Linked DNA regions of Arabidopsis thaliana. The protein of the gene in region 1 interacts with the protein of each later gene in a pairwise test. Each region holds a gene or a part of one and is shown in the gene's direction. Other genes may lie near its edges.

Evidence for each region.
Region 2: the proteins of WUS (region 1) and PUCHI interact in a two-hybrid assay, tested with the Arabidopsis thaliana proteins (one large-scale study listed by BioGRID).
Region 3: the proteins of WUS (region 1) and BBX26 interact in a two-hybrid assay, tested with the Arabidopsis thaliana proteins (one large-scale study listed by BioGRID).
Region 4: the proteins of WUS (region 1) and AT1G21000 interact in a two-hybrid assay, tested with the Arabidopsis thaliana proteins (one large-scale study listed by BioGRID).

The regions. Positions count from the first base shown.
Region 1 is NC_003071.7:7,807,761-7,813,144, reverse strand, and holds WUS (Homeodomain-like superfamily protein), read left to right. Parts: upstream 1-2,333; 5' UTR 2,334-2,473; coding exon 2,474-2,969; intron 2,970-3,571; coding exon 3,572-3,660; intron 3,661-3,751; coding exon 3,752-4,045; 3' UTR 4,046-4,274; downstream 4,275-5,384. Other genes in the region: AT2G17960 (uncharacterized protein), read left to right, coding at 16-306, 691-765. UniProt on the Arabidopsis thaliana protein: Transcription factor that plays a central role during early embryogenesis, oogenesis and flowering, probably by regulating expression of specific genes. Required to specify stem cell identity in meristems, such as shoot apical meristem (SAM).
Region 2 is NC_003076.8:6,163,200-6,167,971, reverse strand, and holds PUCHI (Integrase-type DNA-binding superfamily protein), read left to right. Parts: upstream 1-1,931; 5' UTR 1,932-2,066; coding exon 2,067-3,113; 3' UTR 3,114-3,446; downstream 3,447-4,772. UniProt on the Arabidopsis thaliana protein: Probably acts as a transcriptional activator. May be involved in the regulation of gene expression by stress factors and by components of stress signal transduction pathways.
Region 3 is NC_003070.9:22,215,884-22,220,281, reverse strand, and holds BBX26 (B-box zinc finger family protein), read left to right. Parts: upstream 1-2,449; coding exon 2,450-3,205; downstream 3,206-4,398. Other genes in the region: AT1G60240 (NAC (No Apical Meristem) domain transcriptional regulator superfamily protein), read left to right, coding at 4,336-4,398.
Region 4 is NC_003070.9:7,335,085-7,340,291, forward strand, and holds AT1G21000 (PLATZ transcription factor family protein), read left to right. Parts: upstream 1-2,520; 5' UTR 2,521-2,834; coding exon 2,835-2,837; exon of another isoform or gene 2,838-2,841; intron 2,842-2,922; coding exon 2,923-3,126; intron 3,127-3,213; coding exon 3,214-3,429; intron 3,430-3,686; coding exon 3,687-4,004; 3' UTR 4,005-4,368; downstream 4,369-5,207.

The DNA.
Region 1 (5,384 bases):
ATCGTAGAGGGGACCATGTTCCAAACCCAATTTTCCCCCATTAATTTCCGGGAAACCAAAATAATAAAAGCTAATTATAAACGTTTTCATGAAATTAGGGCAAAAGTACAAACTGAAACTAATGATGCCCTAAATGAAAATGAAATCTCTGCAATAAAGAAGAGTGGCTTTAGGGGCCACGTAGACATTAGTTACAAAAGCTCTGCGTCTTTTAGCCCTCTGCCTCTTCAACAGTACTTTACGACAATGAAAAAGATCGTGATGCGTAAATTAAGATCCCCTGTTTCTCACTGCATGCTCGTTACCGTACGTACTCATAGGAGTTTATAAATCAAAGGGCCTATAGAGAGTATTCTAAGTAGCAACCACTACGTAAAGTTTTACCAAAAAAAAAAACCAGTATGTAAATGTGACCATATGTTCATGTAGTTGCTTGTGTACATCTTTTTTTTTTTTTTTAACTTCAAACTTTATGCTTTATTATAGTGAAGAAGTATAATCCTCATGGAGTGTACATCTATATATACACTGCATACGCATGTAGAGTAACAAGACATTCTTTGTTTCTTGTCAAAAGACATTCACAATCCAACTAGAGATATGATTTTATCATTTGTTAGTTAGTTTATAGTTTGGTGACTTGGTGTAATCTCCTAGTTGGATAAAAATATTGGACCGTTGATTCGATAGAAATGCCAAACGACATTACAAATCGGATATATCGATTGGATGGAATCCAAAAGTTTATCCAATATAATCGACTAAAGTTAAAAAATGAGTAATCCACCAGTCTAACTAAATACTTTCTTTACCAACAAAAATTTGGGATACAACTGAGTTTATTTAGGTGATAAAAGATTATAAGACTTAACCTTTTAACAAAAAAAATTTTTTAAGACTTCAATCCTTAGATTGTTTTCCAAATATTAATAGTTACAATAGTTAGTTTGTAAAACCTATTTTTAATTTTCCGATACTCTTTGCACGTTGTGTTGAATCCGAGAAATCATGGGGGCTATATAAACAAAACTATACTATGAAATAGCCAAGCAACTTCAGTGATCGGATCTTTGGTTTTTTATTTTAAAAAAAATAAATATTTTATCAGCCGTATCTTCAGGGCCATTCCCCATAAAAACTATAATAGCTTCTATGAAATTTGTAGATTCCTAAAAAAATCTTTATATATCTTTTATATACAATATGTGGCTGTTACGTAGAACAATAAGACTATACAAAAGTTGGGTATTGTTCCTTTTCAATTACAAAAGTCATATTCACTAAAACAAAGCCCTTCAAACTTTTTAAAAAAAATGAATAAATCACGCATTTATACAAAAAGATCCATCCATGCTCCTATAAATTCGAGCATATAATTAACTAAAGAATACTCAACATGTTCATAAGTACACCTGTCTTCACACTCGTTTCACACATTGTAATTGACATAAATTTTAATATCTTTTAAAGCAAAGCATAAGTAAAATTATATAGAGTATTTCTTCAACACATTTCCGGACGATATCACCACGAAAAATATCCTATATCACCTATGTGTCATGACTCATGACCATAAGGAAGGAAAAATGTATTTTTATGATCAAACGGTTTTCACTTTTTTTATTATTCATTCTAGAAAAAAATTATAATCGTTTTCTTTCATTCCTACGATACAATAATTCATAACGATCTTTTAGAATTTTTGTTTTGTTTTCTGTGTGTATGGGTAAATATCTTTCATACGTAGACAGATACATAACAATTAAAGCTGGTGAAGTAATAATTGTGAAGAGACAGAGAAATTGAAAAAAGAGAGTTTGTTTTTCGTCTAAGTAAATACCGATGATGCCCTCACCTTTCTAATTCCCTCCTTTGTCCCTTTCCATTTTCATGTTTATTTCTAACTTCTCTGTCCCTTTCAATCCTTCTCCACCAGATATCCTCTGATTCGATCCCCCACAAATTTTTTCATAAAAATTATTATTATTCTCACTAAAACTCTCAAGAGTAGTTTCGATTTTTCCTCTGAATAAAAAAAAATCAAATAATATATTTGACAAGAGAATTTCCTTCCTAAACATAACATTTTATTTGAATGTTAATTCAATTGATTATTTTTCTTTCTTATATCCTTTTCTTTGGCAAAATTTATTTCTTATATCCAAGCACATTTTTCAATAGGGTTTTGTATGTATGAAATCATATCTACATGCATAAAAGAATAATATAGTGAATAACTGATTTTCTAGAATATTGTAAAACCTTCTTTTTGGGTCCCCATTTATATATATAACTCAATACCTTACTATCTCTCTATATATATATAATCTTCTCTCTCACACAAAACCTAAAATCTCTTTACTACCAGCAAGTTGTTTTCTTGCTAACTTCAAACTTCTCTTTCTCTTGTTCCTCTCTAAGTCTTGATCTTATTTACCGTTAACTTTGTGAACAAAAGTCGAATCAAACACACATGGAGCCGCCACAGCATCAGCATCATCATCATCAAGCCGACCAAGAAAGCGGCAACAACAACAACAACAAGTCCGGCTCTGGTGGTTACACGTGTCGCCAGACCAGCACGAGGTGGACACCGACGACGGAGCAAATCAAAATCCTCAAAGAACTTTACTACAACAATGCAATCCGGTCACCAACAGCCGATCAGATCCAGAAGATCACTGCAAGGCTGAGACAGTTCGGAAAGATTGAGGGCAAGAACGTCTTTTACTGGTTCCAGAACCATAAGGCTCGTGAGCGTCAGAAGAAGAGATTCAACGGAACAAACATGACCACACCATCTTCATCACCCAACTCGGTTATGATGGCGGCTAACGATCATTATCATCCTCTACTTCACCATCATCACGGTGTTCCCATGCAGAGACCTGCTAATTCCGTCAACGTTAAACTTAACCAAGACCATCATCTCTATCATCATAACAAGCCATATCCCAGCTTCAATAACGGTGACTAATCTCTCTTATACATGCTTTTTTATGAATTTATTCAGGTGGTTTTTTATAATTACTAAGAGAACCATTTACACCACTAGCTATTACATGAATTAGCACACACAAAAAAAAAAAAACTAACAAGATCTACATATATGACTTTGATAGATATATGTATATGTTAATTGTTAAAAAGATTTTAAAAAATGCTGTTGATTTATGAATTTATTCAGATGGTTTTGATTTAAAAATCTAAAATATATATTATAGGAACATGTTACACACCATCTATTATTACATGAATTAGTAAAAATAATTAAACCCAAGAAGATGTTATGTACATGTAATGACGTATATTTGAAGTTATGGATCTTGATTGGGGCAAACCAAATTTGCATCTAAAGAACGGTTTCTTTGTTGTGTAATGGAAACTAGACTCACGTGCATTTTATTTTCATTTGTGACTTGTAACACAATTAGGGATTTGGGTTAGTAGAAAAAAAATCACTAATTTTATGTCTCTTTCTTCATTCTTTTCCCCTGTATATAGTATGGTCTGGATTCTGGAATCACAACATATATGATCACTGATGATACGTATATTAATATGTTTGAAGGGAATTTAAATCATGCAAGCTCAGGTACTGAATGTGGTGTTGTTAATGCTTCTAATGGCTACATGAGTAGCCATGTCTATGGATCTATGGTACGTACCAAACTATAATTCATTAATTCAAATAATATTTATACTACATATATGAATAGAAATTTAATGAAACTGAAATTTTTGGGTGAAGGAACAAGACTGTTCTATGAATTACAACAACGTAGGTGGAGGATGGGCAAACATGGATCATCATTACTCATCTGCACCTTACAACTTCTTCGATAGAGCAAAGCCTCTGTTTGGTCTAGAAGGTCATCAAGAAGAAGAAGAATGTGGTGGCGATGCTTATCTGGAACATCGACGTACGCTTCCTCTCTTCCCTATGCACGGTGAAGATCACATCAACGGTGGTAGTGGTGCCATCTGGAAGTATGGCCAATCGGAAGTTCGCCCTTGCGCTTCTCTTGAGCTACGTCTGAACTAGCTCTTACGCCGGTGTCGCTCGGGATTAAAGCTCTTTCCTCTCTCTCTCTCTTTCGTACTCGTATGTTCACAACTATGCTTCGCTAGTGATTAATGATGCAGTTGTTATATTAGTAGTTAACTAGTTATCTCTCGTTATGTGTAATTTGTAATTACTAGCTAAGTATCGTCTAGGTTTTAATTGTAATTGACAACCGTTTTATCTCTATGATGAATAAGTTAAAATTTTAATTACTACTATGAAGAAATGACTATTTCAGTAAATTTTTAAAAAGGAATTCCTCACAGATCCGGAGGCATGAAAGAAATGCTAGAGATGTACTATATTTGATTACAATGTTATGATCTTAATTATCGATTACAACGTGATCTTGAACCGAAATCAACAATAGTTGTTTTACAACAGAACTTGTGAACAGTTGAATGTTTTTTGGTAGTTCAAAACTAAAACAAGCAAGTTGCTTTTCAGTGGAAGTTTTCTTCTTCTTCATGTTATGCAATCAGCTTGATCTATCGATAATCATGGAATTTTGATTACATCAATACGAACGGTCAAAATCAATCTCAATTATTTCTATGCGGTTTTTTCCTACCTAAATTTTGATTACATGCATTTATCAATCCGAACTCACACAATTTTCAAATAATAAATCTGAGTTATGTAACCGTTAGCCAATTTCAACATATATTCATTATAAATTAATATTAATCGTTAGCCAATTAAATAAAAGGAATGATTTAGATACAAAATAAGTGATAATTTTAACTTAACAATTCAAATCGACATTAACATGTATATGTTACACAGTTCAGTTTGTTATTTAAAAATTATGTAAGTCTAGGTTGATAAATACAGATGACCAAAATTTGAATTAAAAAAAGACCGCATCAAAATAGTTGGGGTTGATTTTGGTCGTTATCCCCAAAAAATGCAACCTCGAACCCTTTATTGATAAGATTAAACTATATGGGAGGGTAATAAGTTTATAGGGGTTTCTTCTAAGTTCATATTTCTATTTAAAACCTACAGCAAAGTAGGCCAAAATGGTACAATAGCAAACCATTACAATTCAAATCAAATTTTGTTATTGATAAGTTAGAATTTGTTGTTGTTTAAATACTTCATAAATACTTTTCGAAATAATACAATTTTAAATTGTTAAGAAAAAAGAAATAACATTTATCAATAAAATTAAGATTATAGTGAAAAACCTTGAACCCTAGTCATTCAACGATCTCGTTTACCCTTATTTTTTCCAAAATGTTTGTTATGTATACTAGGGATGAGTTAGGGAATGAATATCCTCGATTTTGGTGGTATTTGTGATATGCTCTTAGTT
Region 2 (4,772 bases), on another chromosome or scaffold:
AAAAAGCTTTACCAAGAATCGTCACATTTCCAACCCTTAATACAAGGAGTCCATCACACTTTTGTACCGTAGCCCATTCGGTTAAAAAGGCAAGGTATTCATTCAAATCTAATTAATTTGATTGTTGGTTTACGTGGCTTATATGACGTAGTATTTGTTTTTGCTACAAAAACTTGTGTAGTCATTTGCAGGATTTCTATTAATGCTCGTATATATTTACGTAAGTTTTTGCTAAAAAGGCTAATATATACTTGCATATTACGTACTTCACACCAAAAGTACTAACTTATCCATATATATGAGCATTAGCCTTTTATAACATCATCAAATTAGATATACTAAAGATTATCTAACAGACTAACACTTAACCAAAAAGATTTCAATACAGATCAAAGCTTATCACACCAAATCTATATGTTTGCCTTTATTGAGTTCTACTATAAGAATTTTTGTATATGTATTCTTCCCAAGACTAATTAGTTAATGAAAATATGTACTCTCTTATTAACTAGAACGTTCTATTAATTATACATTTTTTCGAACATGGAATACATAAAAATATCAATCTAAATTCCACAATGACTGAAACGTAAGTGTTCTTACTCTTTTGAAAAGTTTGATTAAAGTCTCTAAACTAAATAATCCAGAGTTTGATTAGAGCTCATAGTCATCTTCTAATTGTTCTGTTTTTCTTTGAACTCTTACTTAACAGTCGTGTTATCGTTGACTATGAGCAATTTTCTTGATTCATCAATAGAACTGTTGTCGGGTAAGGCATTAACTTCCTAATGCAATCATATATGAAAATAGACGAAGCTCCTATGTATATATATATAATCCTACAAAACTACAAACACAAAGAGACTAAGATTGTTGTTGACTTGTGCTTGTTTGCAACTTTGCATACAAGGACATCAATACAAAATTGTCCACTGAGCTATTTAATTAAAACCAAATTTATACGTACTTCCTAAGCATTTTAATTTTTGTTTAGTTCATCGTGTCTTTCTCTAAACCACTCCCATTGAAAAATCAGAACAAGGTGACAAAATTGTTCTCATTTCTATTTCCGCTTAAAATGCGGGTAACCATGTGATTTGATCAGGGGTTGTAGAAACTAACACTGATTTTGAAATATATTTATTTTTGAATTGTTGATATATTGTGTTAGAAAATAACATTATCGAACCTACCTCAGTGCACTCAAATTAATTGGACATCCTTATCGTAATTAGCAATGCATGCATATCATCTCAAGGATATATCAATTAAGTAGGGGATTTAACCTAAAGAAATATATCGATTATTTTTACGTAGACCCTTGACCTTTAGGCTAAGGTATGTAGGGTTATTATGCATGTTGCACGTGACCACTAAGTAGATTATTTGAGTTAATCAATTAGCTTGATCCCATTGAAATAGAAGATTCAAATAGGATGATGCAATATATACATCACAATTACTTTTCTTAAGTTACTCGGTACTTAGTATGTATTTATTACTTGTTCTTTCTTCTAACTCGAGATTGGTTACTGTGACATTCCAGATTTTGCTGTAGTTCCAATGATTCTTGGCCTCTGTTTTAGGCTTTCATAAGTAGCCATCCGTGTATATACATACATATATATACTGTACACACAGTTAAAATTAAGACTGTTTTAAAAAAAGAAACCCTTAATAATAATCAGTCAATTAAGCTGTTTAAAATTTGTATGAATTTATTTCAGCTGGTTAAGCCATATAAAAATCCAACTAATGTGTCAGCGTTTTTTTTTTTGTTTTTTTTGTCGTTGATGCAAAATATAATATCTTTGGAAATATAATAAAAGAAACAAAACAAAAGATGGTCTACTAAAAGCAGTTGAATCAAAAGTGAAGTCTCTCTATCTTCTCTCTCTATCAAGCTCATTGTCTCTCTATTTATAACAACACTTCACTTCCATTCTCAAACAGCACCATCATCTTTAGACAGAAGCAAAGCCAAAAAAAAACTTACTCATCATAAGATATCTTTAACCAAAACCCTAAAAGAAACCTCCTTTCAAAAAAACCATTTCTTCATCATCATGTCAACCTCCAAAACCCTAGACCATAATAAACCATTTGAAACATCCCAAACGCAAATGGGTTTTGCTCTGATCCACCAAAACACATCCGCCAACACAACCACCACCACCACAACCGGCGAGAGACGAGGCCGGAGATCAAAGCAAGCGGAGCCAGGGAGGTTCCTAGGAGTCCGGAGACGTCCATGGGGTCGTTACGCAGCCGAGATAAGAGATCCAACCACCAAAGAACGTCACTGGCTAGGCACTTTCGACACAGCTCACGAAGCTGCTCTTGCCTACGATAGAGCTGCTCTTTCAATGAGAGGTACTCAAGCTCGAACCAACTTCGTCTACACTCCAACTGATGTCCACACCATCCTCACAAACCCTAATCTCCACTCTCTCATTGTCTCTCCTTACAATAACAACCAATCTTTCTTACCAAACTCTTCTCCACAGTTTGTCATCGATCATCATCCTCATTATCAAAACTATCATCAACCACAACAACCTAAACACACTCTCCCCCAAACTGTCTTACCCGCGGCTTCTTTCAAAACGCCAGTTCGTCATCAAAGCGTGGATATTCAAGCGTTTGGTAATAGTCCTCAAAACTCATCTTCTAACGGCTCGTTATCTTCTTCACTAGACGAAGAAAACAACTTCTTCTTCTCTTTAACAAGCGAAGAACATAATAAGTCCAATAACAACTCGGGTTACTTGGATTGCATTGTCCCAAACCACTGCCTTAAACCACCTCCGGAGGCCACCACCACCCAAAATCAAGCCGGAGCTAGTTTCACAACTCCGGTAGCAAGCAAAGCCTCTGAACCATATGGAGGGTTTAGTAATAGCTACTTCGAAGATGGTGAGATGATGATGATGAATCATCATGAGTTTGGTTCGTGTGATCTCTCTGCCATGATCACGAACTATGGTGCTGCTGCCGCTTCAATGTCAATGGAAGATTACGGGATGATGGAGCCGCAAGATTTATCTTCTTCTTCTATCGCTGCTTTTGGAGATGTCGTTGCAGACACTACAGGCTTCTACTCAGTCTTTTAGAACATTCTATATTATATATGTTTTTTATATATGCAATAATATTATTAGTATTTACGTTATTCGATGGTCGTTTGATTGTTGTTGTTAACTATATGTTATCGACTTTATTATATAAATCCTGCTTATTGTTTCATGCATCATAAGGTTACCTTACCTTGAAGTTTTGATTTGTTTTTTCTTTAATTTGTATTATGGTTTTGATTAGCAAAAAGGGATAATCCGAGTTGTATTAAAGACCACTTTTTGTCCATGCTACTTCGACACACTCATTATGTATATTTTATAAGTGTGCTATATTATAATAATAATGAAATCAAATGACTTGCTCCAAACGGATAAATGACTAGGATCGGAGTGAACAACTAATATATCACATGTAATATTAGGATTATAAGATCAGATGCAAATACCCCATTTTTCTATTTTTGATCAGTATGTGCTCAGATATTATGATTATTTTATGACAGTTATAAATTTTGACGTTAGTTTGAATTATAACATAATTGAGAGTCTAAGTTATAAAATTTAAAATTTAAAATTAGTGAATGTGAGATGGACTTTTAGTGAAGTAGCATGATGGTGTTTTTGGTCGTTAAACATGTGTTTTGGTCATGACTTGTTTGGTATTTCATTGCACAATCACTGTTTCATGTCTCCCTCCTTTTGCCTATATTTTGCCTTAACTTTTGTCTACAACAACTCAACATCACAACTCTTTATTTCATTTTTAAATCTGTTTAAGGTTTTTGACTTTCTTTCATAGAACTCAATTAGTGCCTTCTCCAATGTTGATCAACTATACACTTTTTTTGTTAACTCAACAAAGATCCAATCCTGTTATACTAGTCAAACATATATACGTTGGGAATTCATCATATATATATATGCTTCACAATTTGTCTAGCTTCAAATTAAATAACTTCCAAATAGTTACTGAAATTTGTATTGTTAATTATCTGTTTTGCATGCGTCAATATATATAACGATTTAGGCAAAATGTTCATTTTACTATAAGAAAAAAATAAATTAACTCGATAAAGACTGTAGAGTATGTGAAAAATATTTTAAAACAATCGATATTTTAATTTTAAAAAGAATTAAACAATCGATTAATATCTCCACAACTATGTGAAGTCTACTGTAACTCGTATATAAAGACATGTATATCTTTAATCTTTAAACAGTCTTAATTATGGTAGATCTAAGTAGTAACTCAGAGAAAAAGCATTTAATGATTAGGAGTAGTTTTTATTGGGTTGTTGAGAACTTTAGTTGTGATGTTTTCAGTGAACAAACTCATGATTATGGTTTTTCTGTTGTTTGAGTAAAACTAGACGCAACGAACAAACCACACACATGCACATGTTATATCACCAACACAAAGAACCAAGTACGAGAATTACTGACTACTACTTCCACATTAACAGTAGTTTTTTTTTTTTTTTAACTTCTTTTTCATTTATATTTACGTTTGTATCTCATGATCAACGTCGTACGGAATGGAATGTAGAACAAAAAAAGAAACGTGACCCTAAGATCTGTTCTGTTCTGCTTTCTGTTTCGTCAGGCTCTTCCACTTCTTGTTACTCTTCCAAACAAATCTTTAGAATCGGATTGCTTCAAACGAATATTGAGGTTGCGTTTACTGTATAACATGTT
Region 3 (4,398 bases), on another chromosome or scaffold:
CTTCTACTGAAACATATATTGTAGGCCATAACTTACTTCTTGCGCACGCCTCTGCTTCAAGACTATATAAGCAAAAGTACAAGGTATACTTGCTTATACATAACCCTCTTTTGAATGTATAAGAAGCAACATACTATATACAATGTGCAGGATAAGCAGGGTGGTTCCATAGGCTTTGGCTTATATTTAATGGGGTTGACTCCTTCTACAAGCTCCAAGGATGATGCCATTGCAACTCAAAGAGCCAAAGATTTCTATTTCGGTTGGTGAGTCAGGCACAAACAGTTCTAAAAGGTTTTTCAAATTGGGCAACATGTGCAAGATCTTAAGCTGAAAAGAAAGAAAATCTGCTCTTTAAAACTCAGGTTCCTTGGACCTCTTATATTTGGAGACTATCCAGATACAATGAAAAGAACCATTGGATCAAGACTGCCAGTTTTCTCAGAGGAAGAATCAGAACAAGTTAAAGGCTCATCTGACTTCATAGGAATCAATCATTAGTTTGCGGCTTCTGTCACAAACATCAAATTCAAACCTTCTATTTCTGGAAACCCGGACTTCTACTCAGACATGGGCGCATATGTGACTTGTATGAATCAGACTCATTCTTTTGTATAACAAAAAAAAAACCTCTTTTATCTTTATAATTTGTTACTACTCATTTTTTCTTCGTTTTACTGGTTAGAAGACCTTGGGAATTTTTCAGTTATAGAGGTAAGAGTTTTAAGGCTACCAAATTCAGATACAAAACACCTTATATTCCTTGACATTATAAGTCTTTAAACAAATAAGTGCTACTAATCTATCTTTCATTGTTTGTTTTGTTTTTGTTTGGACAAGTATCCTGTTGCTCCGTGGACTATGGAAGCTGTCCTAGAGTATATAAAGCAGAGCTATGACAATCCTCCTGTCTACATTCTTGAGAATGGTCAATCTCTTCTATGATTAATTTATTCGTCTCTCCCTCATGTTTTTGATTTGGACTTAAAATGTCATATACAAACAGGTACACCGATGACGCAACACAAGGATACACATAGGGTGGAATACATGAATGCTTACATTGGTGGTGTGCTCAAATCCATAAGGTAAGTAAAGTTTTTTTATTGCATCTTTTCTTCTCTTATCTTGTTCGTGTAATTAAGGAAAAGGACATTGCTACGTGTAGGAATGGATCAGACACTAGAGGCTATTTTGTATGGTCATTTATGGATTTATTCGAGCTTATAGGGCGGTACGATTATGGTTATGGATTGTACTCTGTAAATTTCAGTGATCCACATCGCAAGAGATCTCCTAGACTCTCTGCTCATTGGTACTCTGATTTTCTCAAGGGCAAAACTTCTTTTCTTGATTCCAAAGGCATCAAGGAATTGCAGAGCAACTTCTCTTCTTCCTCTTAGTACTGTGATGAAATAACTCTTATGTTCTACTGAATTTAGACTACTTGTCATGAGAGCCACTTCTTTTTTTCTATAAATTCTAAATTAAACTAGTTTAGTAACTTTACACGACAAAATAATGAGAAATCACAGATGCTGAATACAAGAATTGCCCGTTTTTAAATGCTAAAAAGAAATTCGTACCCAGGCCTAAGCATGACATCAAGTTCAAGCTAGCATTGTATCAAAAAACCATATTACAGAACCATACAAACACTTGAATAGTTAGTAACTCTTAGCAAAGTTGTTTTTTACACAAAAGCATGCTAATCCGCATCAAAAAAGAGACACAAAAGAGCAGCTTCAAATTCATATACCATCCATTGTTAAGGCTGCATTTCCACATTAAAAAGAACAAAAGCGCAGCTTCCTACCTACATGTGAAAATCATAACAAAGACTGATCAGAAACTTAAGTATGTAAGTACTAAGCTAACAATCTAAACTCTAAAGCAAAATAGTTATACAAAAAAAAAAAACTCATTAATTTACCTGTTTGTCCCCCGTTTGGTTATGTTGATAAAGTTGGGATATTTTTTTCTTCAAAAAAAAAAGATTTCTACATCAAAATTTAAGAAACGACATTATTCTTACTGATCTTTAAGATCCGATAAAAGGAAAAAAAAAAACTTTATTCTTAACAAAAAAATGAGAAACAAGGATCAATTTTTCAAATATCATATAATTATCTTTTTTCTTTCTTATTCTCAATTAATAAATGTAATGTTGAATTTTGAGAATAATTTATAGTTAAAGATAAGTATATAACTTAGTAAAATATATCCTTCTACATAATCAGTTTGTTAAAAAAAAATCTACAAATTAGAAACTCCATCTAAATACGAGCTTCACAGATTGTTTCACAGAGAAAACAAAACTTTGGCTTCCTTCTCTCCTTGGTTCGTGTAAGTTGAATGTTTTTTTTTATTTTAAATTCGTGTTTCTTCTCTTCCGTTTTGCGAAGTTGATAATTTTGTTATAATCTTATATGAATATTTTTCAGGAAACATGGCTCAAGTTTGTCACACATGTAGACATGTAACAGCCGTGATCCATTGTGTTACAGAAGCTCTTAACTTCTGCCTTACATGTGACAACCTTCGCCATCATAATAACATACATGCAGAACACGTACGTTACCAACTTTGCGATAACTGCTCGATGTATCCGTCTATACTTTTCTGTTATGAGGACGGGATGGTTCTTTGTCAATCATGTTATTCGCACCATTACAATTGTGCCACTAATGGCCATCAAACTCAAGTCGTCTTCGCTAACATGAATAATCAACACCATGATCATGCACATATGCCTCATGTGGTTCACCATAACAATAACAATAATCATCAGCAGCAGCATGTGGGTGGTCACCAAAGAAGAGCAGAGATGTTTGAGAGGAGCTGCCACGGGGATAACAATTGCGAGAGATGGATGTTTGCAATGAGATGTGAGTTATGCGTAGCTTCGAATTCAAATGCTGTTGTTTATTGTCCTACACACAACCAGATTCTATGCGATAGTTGCGACCGGATGATTCACAGTCACGAGGACGCGGTGCCGCCGCATTCGAGGTGTAAGCTTTGCGTAATCTGCAAGAGACCTTCTCGCCGTTTTCTCATTGGCGGCTATCAGTTTAATTTCCCACCGGTTCATCCTCCTGCGGCAGAGGGGATTCCAGTTACGCCCCCAACAGAACTACCTCAACAAGATATTAATTATGATTATCTAGATGATGTTGATGATTTTTCTTGGTTTGGTAGGTGAATAGAAAATCGTCTTCTTTAGCTTTTTATTTATGTGTGTTTCTTAGAGTTTTCGTTAGGGGTTTAATTCTTGGTGTTATAATTGCTTCTGGATTTGAAAAAGAAAAGAAGAAGAAAAAAAAAACAATCAGTTGGATTTAATATGTTAGAAGAAAATAAAATGTCAAAACTAACTCCAATTTGTTCGAGGATGGAAGATATCATATCTTGATGTATGTATATCTCATCATTTAACTAGAAACTATCTAGAAACCACAATTACCGAAAAAACATAAAACAATTTTGCTAAAATGTTAAGAACACAAATTAATTTGATTAACAATCGATGCTTAAGGGGTTTATAGGAATTAAATAATATTTTTTTTTCAACAATAAAATTAAATTTCACTTTGCGATTTTAATTTTATTTAAGAAAGTCAAGAACCAACTCCAATATTTCCGGGGATGTGATTTTCTCAATAAAATCGTCTAATTATCTTGATTTTTGATGTTGTTGTTGTACTTTACGTGAATATCTCACAATTAGTAAGCAGAGTAGAAGATTTTGATTAGTATGACGACAAAAAATAGTACAAATAAAATTTACATGACCTTTTTTGTGTTAAAAAAAGTTACATGATGTTCTGCAAGAAAATATGCTTGTATAATAAATAATTTTTATTAATATTTTATTTCTGACTATTTTCTTCAATAAGAGAAAACATAGTCATTTTGTAAAAGGAAAGAACGAAATAAAAATGCAAATTCTTCACGTTTTGTTAAATAGATCTAATTTAGTTCTTATTTAAGAACTTAATATTACATCTTTAAACCAAAGTAAAATATACAAATATTGACAACTATCGGTCTAATTATTTCAATAAGCAAAGATTATAGAATAATTTCGTTAAGTGTATATATCGAAGAGAAAAAAACAAAGGACAAATCGGTCAATTCACTAATTTGATATAAACGGTACCAACAGATGACGAAGCGCCTCTCTATATATAGAGTACCTTCTTTCCCAAGAAACACTATCATCTTCATATTTTACATCTTCCGTTTCTTGTTTCTCTCCCTTCATCAATCATCATCAGCATTTTCCTTAAATCTTCTTCTTCTAAGAGATCTTAGTTTCACTGAAGAACGAAGATGATGAAGTCAAGACGTGAACAATCAATCGAAGAAGCAATCGTCGCAAATTATTTGAAGATG
Region 4 (5,207 bases), on another chromosome or scaffold:
ATATTTGTGAGTTAATATCTTTCTATCTCCATATTATTTGTGTGTTGTTTTTGTGTTGTCAAAACAAATAAAATCATGAGAGATAGCTTAAACATAATTTTGTTACCCTTTTTTTAAAGTCAATTAAGAGTAAGCAAATATTTAATCTTTTTGTTATTAAGAATTGATAAGATTTTATTGAATATATTAATTCATCTGCATCCTAGATTTTTATAAAATAGTTCATTGTAAAAAGTGAATCGCCGAGTTATATATGCGTATCTAATCTAAGTATCATCACGACGTTCAGCTCTAATCTAAATCAAACCACAAAGTAATCAATATTGTAATTTTCTAAGTTTAAGGACTTCTTTTGTTTTGGAAGCGTGTAATTAATTAAGGGCCAAACATGTTTTTCCATTGGCTCTTCTTTGCCACCAGAAGCAAGTTGCAAAAGAGAGTGAAGCACCCAAATTGATTAAAAAGAATTAAAAAAAAAAAAAGGGTTCAAATCCTTTCCATCGTGCTGCAAATTGCACTTTTTGTTGGTCATCCAAATTGCTCATTAATCTTCGTTAAAAAATATATAACATTTGGGTGATGATTAAAAAAGTAGACTGTAGTGGACCCGCCACACCTAATCGTACCCAATGATAATCCGGTAAGGTTCGGTTCCATTTGTCCGCATTCCCAAACTTAGAAAATGAAACGGAAAGAAAAACATAATGTGTTTTAGTTTTTATCTTAAAAAACTATAGACAAAAACTCAAAACATTTTTCGGATTGTATACCAATAAATAGAGAGAATGTAGTTTTAACCTCGCAAGTCTCAACTGATGATCCGACTCGTCCAAAGCATGTTTATAGATTTAACTAGTTTAGCTACCATTCAAATTTGATTTTTAGGTTACCGTCCATTTTTATAGGACCAATTCTATAAGAAGTGGTTTAGATATCGGGTAGATTTTCATTTTCCGACTTCATGCATGATTTAGTTCTTAAAACTTGCATGTTTGGCTTCTACTAAGACAACCCTCGTTTTTCTGACGACTCACGTGGTCAAACGGTGCACAAAGGTCACGTGAGGCACGTGCGTTCTACTGTTTAAACGCCTCTTCTCTTTTGCTTCTTTTTTGCCAATTTGAAAGAGATAAGAATACAAATTAAAAAGATGTTTCTTCCACTTTCCTCATCGCCGTTCTATGCTCACTTTCTTTGGTCGGATTTCCAATTACATTGTTAACTATTAGTGGTCACATAATTTTTTCATGACGTGGATCACACTTCTCTTTTTACATGTCTATCTCCTTAATTAGTATCTTTAATTGCTTTCGACATCAAAAGCTAATATCTATGTTTTACACTCTATTAGTTGTTTAATATTCACAATATTCAATATCAAATCTCACCGTATTTGGAAAATGTTTATTAGTTCAGTACATGACACACTCGTAATCAACATTTTGAATTTTTTAAAATGTTTTATTTGTTCAGTACATGACACACTCGTACATTTCGAATTGCTTACTTTTTTTGCTTTAACAACGTCCAAGTACAAAGGAGATTCTCTAAGACTACAGGATTTGACTTTTTACCAGAGAATCTATCAGGTTAAAAACGATACACACACACACACACAAATTTACAAAAACAACTCTAGTCTCTCTACTTCTAAAAGTTTAATAATTTGTTTTTAACTTTGAACTACAAACGAACTCCATTTATTGTTTCTTGGATCACGTTAAGTAACGTGGCAGCTGAACGTTGACCTATGACTCAAAGTGAGTCCCACTCTAACTATCATCTTGACGGCTCAGAGTTCTCCACGAGTGTGAAGTGTCAATCGGAGGAGGGGGTAAAACCGTAAAAGCTTCCGACACGTCCCACGAAAAAGGATAATACGAGAAGGCTCTTCTCATCATCCAACGGCTCACGATTTAACAAGACTAGTCTCGCTTCTGTCTCTTCTCATACCCGTCGATCTGTCTTGGCTTTTCAGCTATCGCCACCTCTTCTCTCTTTTTTGCTTATCTCTTCAATTTTCGGATTTAAATTTTACGAAAAACAAAGAATTAGGATAATACTATTTGTCTCTCTAATTCTGACCATAATTAATTTTTATTTTCATATTTGACTTTTACAAATTCAAGTGTGGGAGTTCCTTTATTCTTGTTGTATCACTCTCAATGCTTAACTAGATTTGACATCCACATATGTGTTTGTCCGCTTATTATACATATGATGATATGAAAATATATCAATCATTATATCATTCGTAAGCTGAAAAATTAGTATGCTATTTTTTTCTATGTCGAAACGTAATTATTTATGACCATATTTGAACAATAATATCGCATTTTCACCTTTTATTTTTAACCTTTTAAGACTTTCCTTTTAGGTCTTCTAGATGCACACTGGACAGACACGCATATTCAAGATACGTGTGTTTTTGGAGGACTTCAAAAAAAAAAAACGAGATAATGATTTTCCCAAATTACATAAAGAAGAAAACAAATTGATTTTCCCAAATAAAGGAGTCAGAAAAATATAATTTAGGAACAAACAAAAAAGATACCTTTAATAATAAACAAAAATAACTCTAAAAATATTTTAAAATGAAATTCGTATGAAATATAAACCGCATAAACTTATCGTGACCGCCTTCAAATAAAAATAAAACCCTTTATTTTCTCTCTTTCAGCCGCCGCTTTCACTTACCTCTTCCTCTTCCTTCTTCTTCTTCTACCTTCTTCTCGTAAAGGTTTTGCTACACACTGGAGCTCGCAAATCTGGCTATCGAAAACCACAATCACAAACTCAACTTCGGGGCCTTCAAGGCCAATCACAAGAAAGTCATGGTGAGTCTTATTTTTAATTCTTTTTGTTTGTTTTTACCTTGCTATCAATCTTCTCCAGATTCTGATTTGGTTTCGTTTTGTTCAGGGACCAATGATAAGAACAGAGGAAGAAGAAGACTATACAAGTCCACCGTGGCTAATGCCAATGCTACGAGGGAGTTACTTCGTCCCTTGTTCCATCCATGTCGATTCAAACAAAAACGAATGCAATTTGTTCTGTCTTGATTGTGCTGGAAATGCCTTTTGCTCTTACTGTTTAGTCAAACATAAAGACCATCGTGTTGTTCAGGTTCAATATCTCTTCTTCTTCTTTTTCTCCTCCTCAATCTCTCGGTTTTTTAATTGTAATGTTAATGAAAAGAATCAAAATTTGCAGATACGAAGATCTTCGTACCATAACGTTGTGAGAGTGAATGAGATACAGAAGTTCATAGACATCGCTTGTGTTCAGACATATATTATCAACAGCGCAAAGATCGTGTTCCTCAATGAAAGACCTCAGCCTAGAATCGGTAAAGGTGTTACAAACACTTGTGAAATCTGTTGCAGAAGTCTCCTTGATTCTTTCAGGTTCTGCTCTCTCGGCTGCAAGGTATAACACAAAAAGACTCTCCCTCTGTTTTTTCCCCTGTTTTCACCATTTTTGTTTGAAACAATTCATATGGTTTTAACAAAAATGTAAACTTTCTTAAAACCCATTAACGCATTTCACTTCTTAATGATATCTATATCAAATTTTATCCGGTTTTGTTTAGTTTTGTTCGTGATTCATGTGGATATGCTCTGTTTTTGTAATGTTATTTGTGGAAATAACGATATTGTCCTTTGGTTGTTTTTTGTTCTGTTTAGCTTGGAGGAATGAGGAGAGGAGATTTATCTCTAACCTTCTCTTTGAAAGGAAAGCATGGGAGAGAGTACCTTGGTGGGTCGGAATCAGATGAAGCTACTACACCGACTAAGATGCGTAAGACCAATGCTTTCAACCGTCTGATGAGTGGTCTCTCGATCTCAACCGTTAGATTCGATGACTACGGTCCCAATGGTGATCAAAGGTCTTCAAGCTCTGGTGATGAAGGTGGTTTTAGTTTCTCTCCGGGAACACCTCCGATCTATAATCACCGGAATTCAAGCAGACGAAAGGGTGTCCCTCACCGTGCTCCGTTCTAAGAAAAGATAATTACTAAATTTCCAACCCCATAGTAATTAATTATATATATATATATATAGATAATGGTATAATACAATGTATAACTTGGGGTGAAATTTAGGATGTAGTCATAATGTTGTAAATGTGTATTATTTCTTTTTATAGTTTTTCTAAAAGATAAAGGTGAAATAATTAGAACACATACATAAATACATTTTTTATAAGTATAGAAGAATTAGGTTTTATAGTGGAAGTGTTTGATGTTTAGTTTGTTTAAAAGGCATGGCTTTGTCTTGTGTTGTAATGTAATGTGTACATTAAATTTTTGTTCATACAATAATAATATCAAGGTGAATGATATATTATAAAGTTTATGCGTTGTCTAATGACTAGTGACTACTATATTTAGTCTATATCACCATTTTGTGACATTCATCTAAAACAAATGTTAGTGTAGTCTAATCCTTTCATGAACTGTTTTATATGGTAATGTGTAACTGAAGTCATGTCGTCATGGTTACATGGTTTGTATAAAAGTCGTAAGAGTGACACTGAGACATATTTTTCAATACTATTGATTGATTTGTTGTAGTTTGACGTAATCAAGAAGAATATTATAATAGTATACGCTAAAGAATATTATTATGCGGTTTAAAAAGTGAGCAAGTGGATAGAGGAAAATAAGAGCCGTGTGGAATCCGAAAGGCTGCGATTCTCTCTCACCGTTAAGAGACGGGTGTTCATTCCTTTTTCTGATCGCTCAAAATTATTCAACATCATATTTTAAACTCTCTACTAATCCACGGAATCGAATAATTGGCAAACTGTTATTGCTTATAAAATTTCATTAGTTATAATAATGTTTTAATTATGCCATTTCGTAAACACAAAAATCGTTTTCTGTAGCTTTTTAGGTATCCCACAAATTTACGTTTTCTTCTTTTCACTAGGTTTTCACACTTAAAGCATCACAACTTTTTACTTTTACCAAAAAAGTTCCGAGCTTGGTTCATAATTTCTCGGAGTCGAAAACTAGAATTTCAAATTATCTTGTTTAGGATCACTACAAATTTTATTTTACGAAAATGTTAACATCAAAAATAATTTATATAAGGCGGTAATCACATATTTTCAGTATATATAGTTTTTTCACTGTAGTTTGGTTTTCTAGAATAAGTAGTTACACAAAGAATTTATGATAAACGACTGTGAATGTGTGCTTG